Linked DNA regions of Danio rerio. The protein of the gene in region 2 purifies or fractionates together with the protein of the main gene of each other region. This does not show direct contact. Links are inferred from orthologs where the notes say so. Each region holds a gene or a part of one and is shown on either strand. Other genes may lie near its edges.

Region 1 (6,307 bases), on a different chromosome or scaffold from region 2:
ATAAGGGCATTTCTCTCCCTTTTCTTCAACAGCATCCCTCTTTGCATAGTAGCTTGACATTCAGTGCGTCTGTGTTGAAAGGTAATTTAAAGCTAACGCTCTCCGGTCTGTTCTCCACTCCTCCTCGTCTGTTCTCCCTGTCACACACTGAAAGGCGCGCGCCCGCACGCTCGCTCGCGGAGGCTGAGGCAGGGCTCGCGTTTCCCAGACCAAAGAGACTCCCTGACTCCTCACACCTATGATGAGCCACTGAACTTCAGCGCGCGATTCTGTCATACATGCTGATGCTGATGCTGATGCTGCTTACTGCGCCATGGGAGAGAATATATAGAGTAATCATTTTGTGCTGCCATCTGTGTCTTAGTAGCCTACTAAGTCAATTCTGTAATTCTGTTTTACAGATAACAGCCTAATAGAACAGAAAGGGATGTTGTTTGTGCTGATTTGATCAATATTATGGACTTTAAGGGATATTTCATCATCCAATCTTGAAAATCCTGTCATCATTTATTAATTCATTTTCTTTTCGGCTTAGTCCCTTTATCAATCAGGGGTCGCCACAGCACAATGAACCGCCGACTTGTCCAGCATGTTTTACGCAACGGATGCCCTTCCAGTTTCTTTTTTTATACACCTTTAAAATGTTATTTTAAAAAAATGTTGAAAATCTGTATGGCTGATTAGCACTGTCTTTGTTTCCCAGTACTGGGTTGCAGCTGGAAAACATATGCCAGAATAGTTGGCAGTTCATTTCCCTGTGGCGACCCCCCAATAAATCAGGGACTAAGCCAAAGAAAAATGAATGAATGAATAAAAAACCTGTAACAACTGAGTTCCATATTTTTTTCTAAAGTTTCCAGGTTTCTACCATTATTTTACAAATCCTCTTTTGTGTTCAACAGAAAAGGATATAAAAGCAGGGTGGGTAAATTTACATTTTTGGCTGAACTACATTGTGTCAATGTAATAAGGTCAGATCAGCTAAAAAAAAACAGACAAAAAAAACAACTGAAATAAATTAATAGGAAAAGTTTATGAGAGGGAGTGGGTAATGCTGTTGCCTCACAGCTAGAAGGTAGCAGGTTCAAGTCTCAGCTGAGTCAGTTGCCATTTCTGTGTGGAGTTTGCATTTTCTCCCCGTGTTAGCATGGGTTTCCTCCGGGTGCTCCTGTTCCACCCACAAGTCCAAAGACATGCGCAATAAGTGAATTGGGTAAGTTAAAAATGTGTGTATGTGCGTGAATGAGTGTGTATGGGTGTTTCCCAGTGTTGGGTTGCAGCTTGAAGGGCATTCGCTGCGTAAAAAAATATTTTGGATAACTTGACAGTTCATTCTGCTATGGTAACCCATGATTAATAAAGGGACTAAGCCGAAAAGAAAATGCATGAATGAATGAAGTTTATGAATAATTTAACTTATGTGCATTTGTCTGGAGGAGTTTTATTAAATTCTTAGTATTAAAACCTGTTAGTCTTTTGTGCTACTATACTGTTCCTTTCTTCATTAGAGGGGTTTAAAATAATGTATGCCAATAACCTCAAACATGGTGGCACAGTGGCTTGGTGTTAAACACTGTCACAACACAGCAAGAAGCAAGGTTTGAGCCCCAGCTGGCTGGGTAAGTTGGTGTTTCTGTGTGGAGATTGCATGTTCTCCCCATGTTCGCATAGGTTTCCTCCGGGTGCTCTGGTTTCCTCCTTGGACCAAAGGCATGCGCTATAGGTGAATTCAATAAACTAAATTGGCCGTAGTGTTTGTGTGTGAATGAGTGTGAGTTTCCCAGTAACACCCATACACTCTTATTCACACACATACACTACAGACAATTTAGTTTATTCAATTTATCTATACGTGTCTTTGGACTTCTATACATATAATATAATAACCAAACCCCAAAAGTATATGCACTTTTCTTTTTCTATCTTATAGTTTGAAGATTTGTATTGGAATGAGCTAATGTAAATTGGGCCAAGAAAACAACACATTGTGCTGCAGTGGGTAGCGCTGTTGCCTTGCAGCAAAAAGGTCGCTGGTTCGAGCCTCGGCTGCATGGGTCATTTGGCATTCCCCGTGTTTACGTGGGTTTCTTCTGGGTGCTCTGGTTTCCCCCACAGTCAAGACATGCGCTATAGGTGAATTGGGTAAGCAAAATTGTCAGTGAGTGAATGTGAGAGTGTATGGGTGATTCCCAGTGATGGGTTGCAGCTGGAAGGGCATCCACTGCGTAAAACATATGCTGGATAAGTTGGTGGTTCATTCCAATGTGGCGACCCCAGATTAATAAAGGGATCTGAAAATAAAATGAATGAAGGAATAAATAGAATCGAATGTGGAGGACTAGTATAAATAAAATATATTAATGAGATGATATTCCTTCTAGAAACACGTTATTTTAAAGTAAAAATTCAGAAGAAACAAACTTTTTTTCTTTTTACTGAGTTAAATTTTTTTAAAGCCTATTAGGAGATAGTAGGCATGTAATTAAAGTTATGTAAAATTCATCTCCATACTGGTGGGCACGACTGCAGGGTCCCTCTGCTGGGTCGGCCCCCGCCTGTGCACTGACGACAGTGGGGCAAAAGAGAGAAAGCGAGAGGCAGACGTCAGAGAGAGGGATATGCAGCCCGCCATACAGAAGTGTATGGGGCAGTGGATGTAAATAAACCGTGTACAGTATCCATACTTTACTTATTCCCACCCCCTTTTGCCTAAGAGACGGGCTTGGATAATGATCGGGGTAAAAAGATTATGGGGGCCACTCAAAATTAAACTGATTACGTCCGAAATCTGATAACGTAAGGGGCCTTCTGAAAATCTCATTCATCTTTGGGAATCGCAAAGTCCTCGTAGCGGCACGACAGAAGACACCGCAGGAAAAAGGAAGGAGAGAAAGAGAGAGAGAAGGGTGAGGACCGGGAGCACTGGAGAGCTCGTCGCCGGCTTCCGGACATTTCGGGGCGGCATTAAAATCGCAGACGTCGCTCCTGGAGGGAAGGAAAACCAGATATCTTCAGCACTGGACTAAAATTTCTGGAAGCAGCAGCTTTTGATTCAGCGATGTCCAGGAAAGTCCAGAGAAGCGAGGTGTGCGCCGACTGCAGTGCACCAGGTAAGGCTGAGATTTATGGATCAATGCGTTGTTGTGAGCCATGGCTGTCCGGGACTCGCCTGACCGCGGCGGATTGCGGAGGAGTACCAAGCCCGCGTATGCGAAGGGATACTGGGTTAAGCGCGCCAGGAAAAATGCCTAAAATTAAGGCCGATTCTGCGGCCCAACAAATCAGATTTTAAACGCACTCTTAACTTATATGTATCTTTGTAATGCGGTTGAACAGTGGTTGTTCAAGAAGTACAATCTTTTAGTGTATTCACAAAACTTGCATGACTTTAAATTTGGACTGCTTATTCCTGCTTTGCTGCCGTGGCTAAAGTTTTACCCCTTCTCGTTGTTAGCACCCATCCCAAGTTAAGTTGACAAGCCTGCGAGGTGCTGTCAATTAAAATGACCATATTTACTCCACACTTAGATTTGTTTATATGCAGATATTGTAGCGACAGCTTACTATATATTTAAATTGTGTTTTAGTAAATACTCCGCACTGAAAGCTCTATATATCGAACAATGCTAACTGTCAGTAGGCTAGGCTTGGTTGCTAAGTAGCCTGCGGACTCTCATTTGAGTCTCTTCCCAGTTTTAAGTAAAACACGTTTGTGTATTTAGAATCAGTTTTTATGACTGCAAGAGGTCCTACTTAAACATATTCGGTACATTTTTTGCGAATTTAGTTAGTATGAACATGGGTTGAGAATAGATAGATAGCTAACTAGCGCTAGCAGGTTGACAGGACACATCTAACGTTAACTCTGACGTGGGTCAGTGTTCGCTTCTGTTTGCTCTTGTCCACTGAATTGCTTCTAGATAACGGTTGTGTTTGTTATTCTTTATAATAAAATTAATAGTGGTTTAAAATATTATTAGACAAACTGTTTTTGTAGTTACCGCATGGTAACGTTAACCTTAAATTAACGATATGCTACATTAACCGTAGTTTAACTTTGGTTTGACAAATTGTAGTCAATGCACTAAAACATGTGTAATAGACTTTTATTATAGAAAAACTATGAATAATTTGATAGTATGTTGAGTTAACTGATAGTATTGCATTTAAATGCTGGAAAAAATGCTTAAATCTGGTCTTTATTTTACTGGTCTTAGTTGGTCTCCCAGTATGGCCAAGCTGTTGTGTAGCTGGTCTCCAAGCTGGTCTCTCAGCATGACCAGCTTAAAAAGTCCCTAAAAACCCACCTAAAACTAGCCAACAGACCAGTTTGACCACTTGGACACCACCTAAAAGCTTTAAACCAGCTTAAACTGTTTTTAGCACAACTGCCATTTAAAACGTATCGCTACATATTTCCATATTTCTGTAATAATTATGAGCAGTGGGTGAAATCTATCAGCGGTAATATACAAATTTAAGATGTTTTTAGATTTTTTTCTTTTCAAAGTTACTAAATGGGTTTGTCCTAAATAGAGCATAGGTTTAAATTATTTATAGCCATTTCTAGTTCCATCATGCATGCCTTAAGACACAATTTCCTGAAACCAGGGTCAACTTCCCTCTTTTTCCCTATAGCATTTTTATTTTAAATAAATAGGAACTATGTCGTTCTCAGCCATTTGTCCTCAAATGCATTGCTCAATAAATTACCAACAAGCTTAAACCAACCAAATAAAGACACAAGACCGCCTTCAGTTGTTTACAAAACATGTTTTAAATGCTGCTCAGCTGTGCCGTCACTTCAAGCCCACCCTTGGCCTTGCTCATTTAGTCTCACCGTCCCCATGGGGGGACCGAGGGGTGGTACGGGGGGCATGACAGCTGCTCTCTCATCCACAGCTGCTCTCTGCTCTCCACAAATGTACAAGTGTGTCTTGTTTTTGACAGTTTAGTTCTGTTTCACCTCTTTGGCTACCTGCAGTCTTGCTGTGAGCTCGACCAAAAGCTGTCACCGATGCCTGTGGGTTCAGTTATCAACAAAAATCCCCACCGATAGTAGTCATACAGTGCAAGAGCCAACATATTTATGGCAAGAGCGGTTTCTAGAAACAAAAATCACTGACAACATGTGCATGCATGTTTTTTTTTTATTACACTATGTTAAACCTAGCAGCAAATTGATTTGAGATTAGTTTAAGCTGTTAATGTTTACAAATGTCATTGATAATAACAATAATTAAAGCACAATCGATTTTTACGTTTTGAAGTATGTCATCTCAATGCATGTCTTCATCTGAATTTATCTGTTAGTGTGTGTGTAATTAAGTTCAATACTATTTTACATGGTGTTCTGTTGATTTATAGTTTGTTATTCAGTATTAATTTGAAGGTTTATCGTTTAATTAATAATTTATCAGTAAGTATGGTCTATCTAGCTATCGGTTTTAACAAAATCCAACATCGATTGACCTCTACTACTGCAGTGCACTAGAGCTTGTCATTTTCGTGTTTAACATGTTGTTGGAATGTAGATAATGGTAAGTGTGTTGAAGGCAAGTAACTGATGACTGAGAAAGGAAGAGGAGGAGGAGGTGGAGGGATGGTGGGCAGACAGACGGATGTATTCTGGTAAATGTGTTATTGGAATGAATGAATGTGGGGAAGATTGTCAATTGCATGGTCACTGAGGGCTGAATGACGCCCTGTGTGAAGAGTCTGTGTGTGTGTGTTAGCGAGTGGTGTGTAATTTCATTAGATGCGAAGAGAAACTCGGGTTTGAAGATGCTTCTGTTAATGTTATGAAGCACTTTTAGAAAGGATGAGGGTGTAAGTTGGCATCATCTTTGATTTTTCCCACACACAGGTGCTTGGCTTCGTTTCTGTTAATGTTCATATTTAGACCAATAAACAAGTTTATGGCACTGATTTATTTTTAATTAAGCCCAAAAATATTAGGTTCTTCTCTGCATGCTAGAATTTTTTTGGCTGTAAAATGAACATTTGCTGGATTTAAATAAGCCTTTCCTTCAGTAAAAAAAAACTGTCATCTTCAAAAATCCATTTTAATTTTTGATGAATGTGGGAGTTTAGTTCACATGAATAAAATAAATGCCTTTAGAAGTGAATAGACTTTTTTAAGAAGTCATTTTTCACCGGTTTCCGACAGCGAGTTAAGTTAAAATGTAGAACATGTAAAGCTAAGCTGATAATTGTGGAAAACAGAAATCCAAGTGATGGAGCCGAATAAAATAAATTCTGAGGCTAATTTATTCTTCTGTGGCCACTTTGCAGCCACATCTGATCT
Region 2 (5,809 bases):
TCAGAGCTGGATTGAACTCCTGACATATTACTGCTTGATAGAGGTTTCAATCATTATGGGAGCAAAAATAAATAAATAAACAAATAAAAGAATTAATATACTAATAAAAACAGCTACATTTAATATTTGTAACTAAATTCTGAAATAATAATTTAAAAAAACTTCAACGCTAATTTACTTAGTGTTTTTTTATCAAAGTGTTTTTTGAGTCATACAACTGTTCAGAACATCCATACTAAATCTGCTTAAATCAACTAAAAGGGAAGTAAAAGTGAAGTACGTCACATGACTTGCATTTTTACACACACGTAGTTGATTCTATGTTAATCCATTAAATCAGAAACAGGTGCTTCTCTTTGTATGTTTGTCCAGTGAGTACAGTTTAGTAAGGGGTGATGCCGAAGATGTTTTTTTCTATATTCATATTTCTCTTTACTTATTTAGAGGAGTCGGAGGGTTTAGTTTAATTTGTTATTTTCTTTCATTTGACACCGCTTGTTTAGCTTCTCTGAATCAGGTTTGTTTCAGTTGATTTGTTTGATTGTTTTTCATTTATTGTACACAGTTGTAAATATGCTTTGGGTGATTAAAATTTTTTTTTTCCTTCACCTTTACTGTAAATAAAGCAAACCACTTTTTGTTAAGTCCATTGTCTGTGTTGATCCATAGCAGCTAACGTCTCAGGGGAATTTTTAAAATATTGAGTTGTCTTAATTGTTTGTTTAGCCCTTTTCATCCTCCGGGCGACATGGGGCGTAACAAACAGCAACCCATCTGATTCAATGCTTGCATTTATTTCAAATAGATTACTGGTTGATTTAGGGACTGCAACAAATGAAACTCCATTAACTAGACACTGATTTGAAGCTTTTGGGATATTGCAGCCTGCAAGGAGCCAATTTAAGATTCACCATTAAAAAAATAAAAATTCCTTTTCTTTTTTTATTGGTAAAAGTTAATGTAGAATATTTAATGTTTTTTATATTGCCCATCTTCCAGTGCTTTTGCTGCATGGTACAGTATTTTGTCTTGTGGTACATCTGTCTTTAGAATCTGTGGCCTTGATTTTGTGTTCATAGCTGAATACTGAGTAAACATTATTTTACCCAAGCATTGACATAATTTACAGAAAGGTCTTCTGAAACATTTAAAGAGCAATGTATTTAATTTGCTTTTTACGCATATGAAGTTATTTGATTTGATGCAGAGAACAAAAATGTTATCTCCAATCCACACCAACACGACTTTTAAGACTGTGCTTTAGTAATAATAAAGTACATCTTCAAAAAGTCTTTTAGTATCTGATCAATCACCTTGTTGGCTCTTCTCACCAATCAGAGCAACTGAAACATAGAGTAGCAACAAACGGAAAGCATGTTTCTGAGAGCCTCTTACCACGCTTGTCAAGCGAAAGCAGCATGAAATGAGTAAAAAGCTGCTTCAGAATAACTGTTCTTGATTTTTGAAAGAGCTGGACAGTGTATATTAATTGAACACTTCAGGCCTCAGCAGCTTTTGATTTCTAGTGTCTCATCATTTATTAAATTAGAAATAAAACAAAAGTTGTACATTGACTTCTAAAGGTAATTTCATGCAATTAATTTAATCAAATTCATATTTTTCCTATAATGTATGCACATGCGTGACTTATTCAGAAGTTCTACCAAGAGTTTATTTCATGCAGGAAAAGGGTTGGTGGGTTTTGCAGACATATCGATGTATGAAGTTTGAGAAGCAGGATGTTTCAGTAGATGATGTTGCATGGGAACTCCCTTCCTCCTAATGAATAGATAGCAACATAGCAAAGTTCTCAAACGCAACTTAAGCAAAGATCATCGAAGACAGAGGAGGATGAGATTACAAGTCAAACAAAAAGACACAGGAAATGCCTTATCACAGAATGAAACAGAAAAGCTTGGATTAAACGTGTAACACCAGTGCTAGCCAAGCACACGGACACACACACACGCACACACACAAAAACTCACATAATCTACGCTTACCTTCAGGATATAAGACATCCTCTAAAGAAGCAGAAAATGGAGAGAGAATGAAGATGTGTATGAGAATAAAAGAAGAGCCTGACAGAAATATGATGGACAGATCAGTGAAAGGTGAACATTAATTCAGATCATTTCGAAAAACTGAAGATTTTACATGCGTTTCTTAAGTAGAAGAGCACCATTAACACCCGTTCTAATACAATCAGAGTTGTATGAGTGGGATTTGGGTAGAAGTAGTTGATATGCAACTCAAAAACCATCAAACATTCCACTTTTCTGTGAGATAACACCTCCACCGCAATGTGTGGTGAAAAACAAGAAGGCGGCTACCAGCTTTAACACTCACAATCAGTTCACTGTGGTTCGGTTTCCTGTTAGGACCACCAAGAACGCACAGAGGTAAATTACGCTCCCACTCAACATGTCATATGACTGTTTTCCAGAAAGCGTACCTCTTTATAGCCGAGAGCGGCGGAGGGCTTCAGGGGCGGCGCGGGTCTCAGGCAGCTTAAAGACCAGGGCTTGGTGATTTTAGGTGGTTCGAGAGGTCCTCGGTTAACCGCAGTCGTACCGAAACCGTGCAAGTGGTGGGAAGACGTGCCAGGCATGGTTAAAGGTTTAACATCAACACTCTGTAAAATACACAAGAACATGACGTTTGACTTACTGTTCAACTGGATAGAGGTGAAAGCTGCAAAAAACGCTATTACCTTCAGCACTGTTTCAAATGGACTTCCTACCTTTATGTAAGGATGAAGATGTTCTAACCAATCCTGTTGCTCCTGTAAGCTACTGCAGAACACCATGGTCCGATCTATTGAGCCACCTAAAAAAAAAAATAGTCAGCAAATAAGGAAGAGACAAGACTGAAGTACTTTAAACTGTTTAAGCAAGATTTGTTAGAAAATTTTCAGTCCTAAAAAAGCAACTGAAAAGTGATGGGTTTTTGAAAATGCTTTTCCATGCAGTGTGTAACAGCCAGTGGCGTAGCGGACGGGCCCGCGAAAATCCGGCAACCGCAATAATCAAACTCTTGAAAACAACTGTGGTCGGAACCAAAGTTCACAGGTCTGTATTCTCTGAACTCCTCTCAAGCGGTGGACTACTTCATTCTAATTGTTTGGCGCCGAACCGCGTCAAGCTCGGTCATAGCTCATACCATAAAGTTGACTTGATTTCTCCTCAGTTTGTGAAGGCTTCCCTGCGTTGTCGCTCCACCCCGCCCCCTTTCCCGCTCCTTAGTTTGTGATTGCTTCTCAGTTTGTGATCGCTCCTCAGTTTGTGAAGGCTTCCCCGCGTTGTCGCTCCACCCCCACCTCCCCAACTGGGGGCCCCGTCAGTGATCCCTGCAGGGGGGCCTCCACATTACTAAGTGAATGAAAACATCCAGCTGAGGTTTAAATCTGAAAGTGCACAGTATGAAATATTGATTCTTTAAGGAAATAGTCAACTATTAGTCAACTAATAGTCGAATAAATGAATTGTGTTGGGTCCCAATCTTTTGCTTGAACGTGTCGACGTCGACATGGTATGACCAAATATGAAATGCGGATCCTGTAAAATGCACTTTTTCCTTCAGACACTAGCAGAGAGTGGGGGATCACGAGACTGATCATGACATGAAGATGTTGATCACATATGGAGATTCTGCTGCAGGGAATAAAGGGTTAAAGCTTATTTTTACAACAATACCACAGTATAGCCAACCGTGTGCCGTGTTTGTTCCTTTCATTTTTCAGATTTTTGATACAATAACCTACGCTGCAATGTGTACTGACACATAAATTAACCCTGAAGCACTTTTTGCTTGATTCTGGATTTATGAACATTTTGGAACTTACTCATATTCAGTAATATTGTTTGCAAAAAAATATTCTTTATTATGTCACATAAAACACAAAAAAGTCAGTATTTTCACGCTGCACTTATATGGACAAGTCAGGCTCTAAACCATCAAAAATGAAAAACCCTTATAATGTCATATGCAACATTGCACCTTTTTTGCTTATAGATAAAATATGTAAACAAGTGCGTGAGTATTTCTCAGCATTTACACTTACTTTTATAGTATTGAAGTTCATATTGTTGGAAGTTCCTGATAATATTTCTGAGACACTATGAATAGCAGCTATGCTAATTATTTTGTTTATTCTCTTTTCCACCTGGGGATACTTATCCTGAGGCTTTTAAAGATTATGCAGTGCCATTGATGTGATCCATGACCTGTGAAGAAATAATGCCAAGGTATCCATAATCCTGGACCAGGCCGTATCCTGAGCTAATGCTGTGGCGGTCACGGAGGAGTGGAGAGCATGAGACTGATTTCTGAAAGACCCAGTGACAGACCAGTCTTCACCTTGATCCCGTGGGTCAGCTGTATACTCGCCGATGACCTCCAGCCTCCAGCACCTTGACTGCAGCTCTGCACAAGTAGTTTGGCAAGAGGGGAAATGGTCTTACCCCACTGAGCCTGTTCCTTTTAAGGTTTTTTCCTTCACCTTCGTCAATTGGTCAAGTTTGTTCCTCGCCACTGGCTTTCTTGGTTTGGGACTTGTGGAGCTGCACATTGATGGATTTGCTCTTCAGTGTTTGGACTTGATGAAAATTAAACCACACTGAACTGAACTAAACTGAACTTCAACTCTGAAAACTGGACTAACACAGTTTCAATATACTAGAACTTCTATGTTAAGCTGCTTTGACACAATCAACACTGCAAATGCACTATATAAATATACATGAATTGAATTGAGTTTGTTGAATATTGTATTGTAATTGTATTTGTGAAATCAAAGTAGTTTCATTGAGTACAATGATTTTTCAGTACTCACATAACACCTTCACTAGACTCAGAATCGAAGCTTAATTTGTACCGGAACACGCTGGATCTGGCACCTCATTTTACTGATCCCCATCCTCAAACGCCCTGCTCCCCCATCCGCTGTTTACTTTCACTTTCTTCCGCGACTCCGCAAGCCTCTTTTGTCCGCGACAACCCCCCCTGCTCTTCACTTTTGTCCATGACACCCCTCCGGTATACACCCCACCCCACGGATCCTAGGGTATCATGCCAGATCAGTTACCCCGATCTGTTCCGGGACCTCTCAATTCACAAATTAAGCACTGCTCGGAATGTATGATCATACTGGGTATTAGATATCATGGGCTTTTAAATCATTTTTAAAAATTCCTGTCTGGAAATTGGCAGATGTATTTTTTATGAACTGTAATGAAACACCTGCAAGAAAATTCTGTTTGTGTTGAACAGGTTTGGACAGAAACAAAGGTTAGAAAAAAACAATACCATTTTCAACTTTAGGTGAAATACTCCTTCAATAAACCGCATGCTGTCTATTTGTCATTTTAAATTCTGCTGCTAGTTTGTAGAGCAGCAGGCAGCACTAACTATAAAAAGCAACATTAATGACAGTTGAATTCTGTGACACCCCACTAAAAGTGTTTACATGGACTGAAACAAACCTGTGATCTCAAAGGCATAATGGCCGGTCTCTGCATCCTCTGGCTGTTTGGTTACAGAGGTTCCTGTCAGCGGCAAACGTCCCTGAGATGAGAAGAAAAACATGAATAAAAGCTCTGCGCTTCAGCCTTCTTCACAAATAACAGATGCTGATTGATTTAAAAACAAAAGAGAGGGAGAGAGAGGAAAAAATAACTCACCTGATAAATGAAACCACTCATTCTTGGGCTGGCAGACAGCATGATTATCACATTAGGAAACAGCATGAAGTATCTCTCTTCTTTTTCCTTGGGAAAAAAAAAGAAAGAAATGTATGTAATTTTACAAT

Evidence for each region. Proteins that work in one complex are often made in the same cells at the same time.
Region 1: the proteins of arhgef6 (region 2) and git1 purify together in Homo sapiens (affinity purification with mass spectrometry; 3 studies listed by BioGRID and IntAct, counting the BioPlex papers as one, with this or other methods). This does not show direct contact. The link is inferred for Danio rerio from reciprocal best matches to the Homo sapiens genes ARHGEF6 and GIT1.

What each region holds. Positions count from the first base shown.
Region 1 is NC_133190.1:30,983,802-30,990,108, reverse strand, and holds the start of git1 (ARF GTPase-activating protein GIT1), read left to right. Parts: upstream 1-2,606; 5' UTR 2,607-3,058; coding exon 3,059-3,110; intron 3,111-6,307. UniProt on the Homo sapiens protein: GTPase-activating protein for ADP ribosylation factor family members, including ARF1.
Region 2 is NC_133189.1:36,336,964-36,342,772, forward strand, and holds part of arhgef6 (rho guanine nucleotide exchange factor 6), read right to left. Parts: intron 5,769-5,809; coding exon 5,682-5,768; intron 5,566-5,681; coding exon 5,484-5,565; intron 2,830-5,483; coding exon 2,456-2,829; intron 2,025-2,455; coding exon of another isoform or gene 2,004-2,024; intron 1-2,003. UniProt on the Homo sapiens protein: Acts as a RAC1 guanine nucleotide exchange factor (GEF).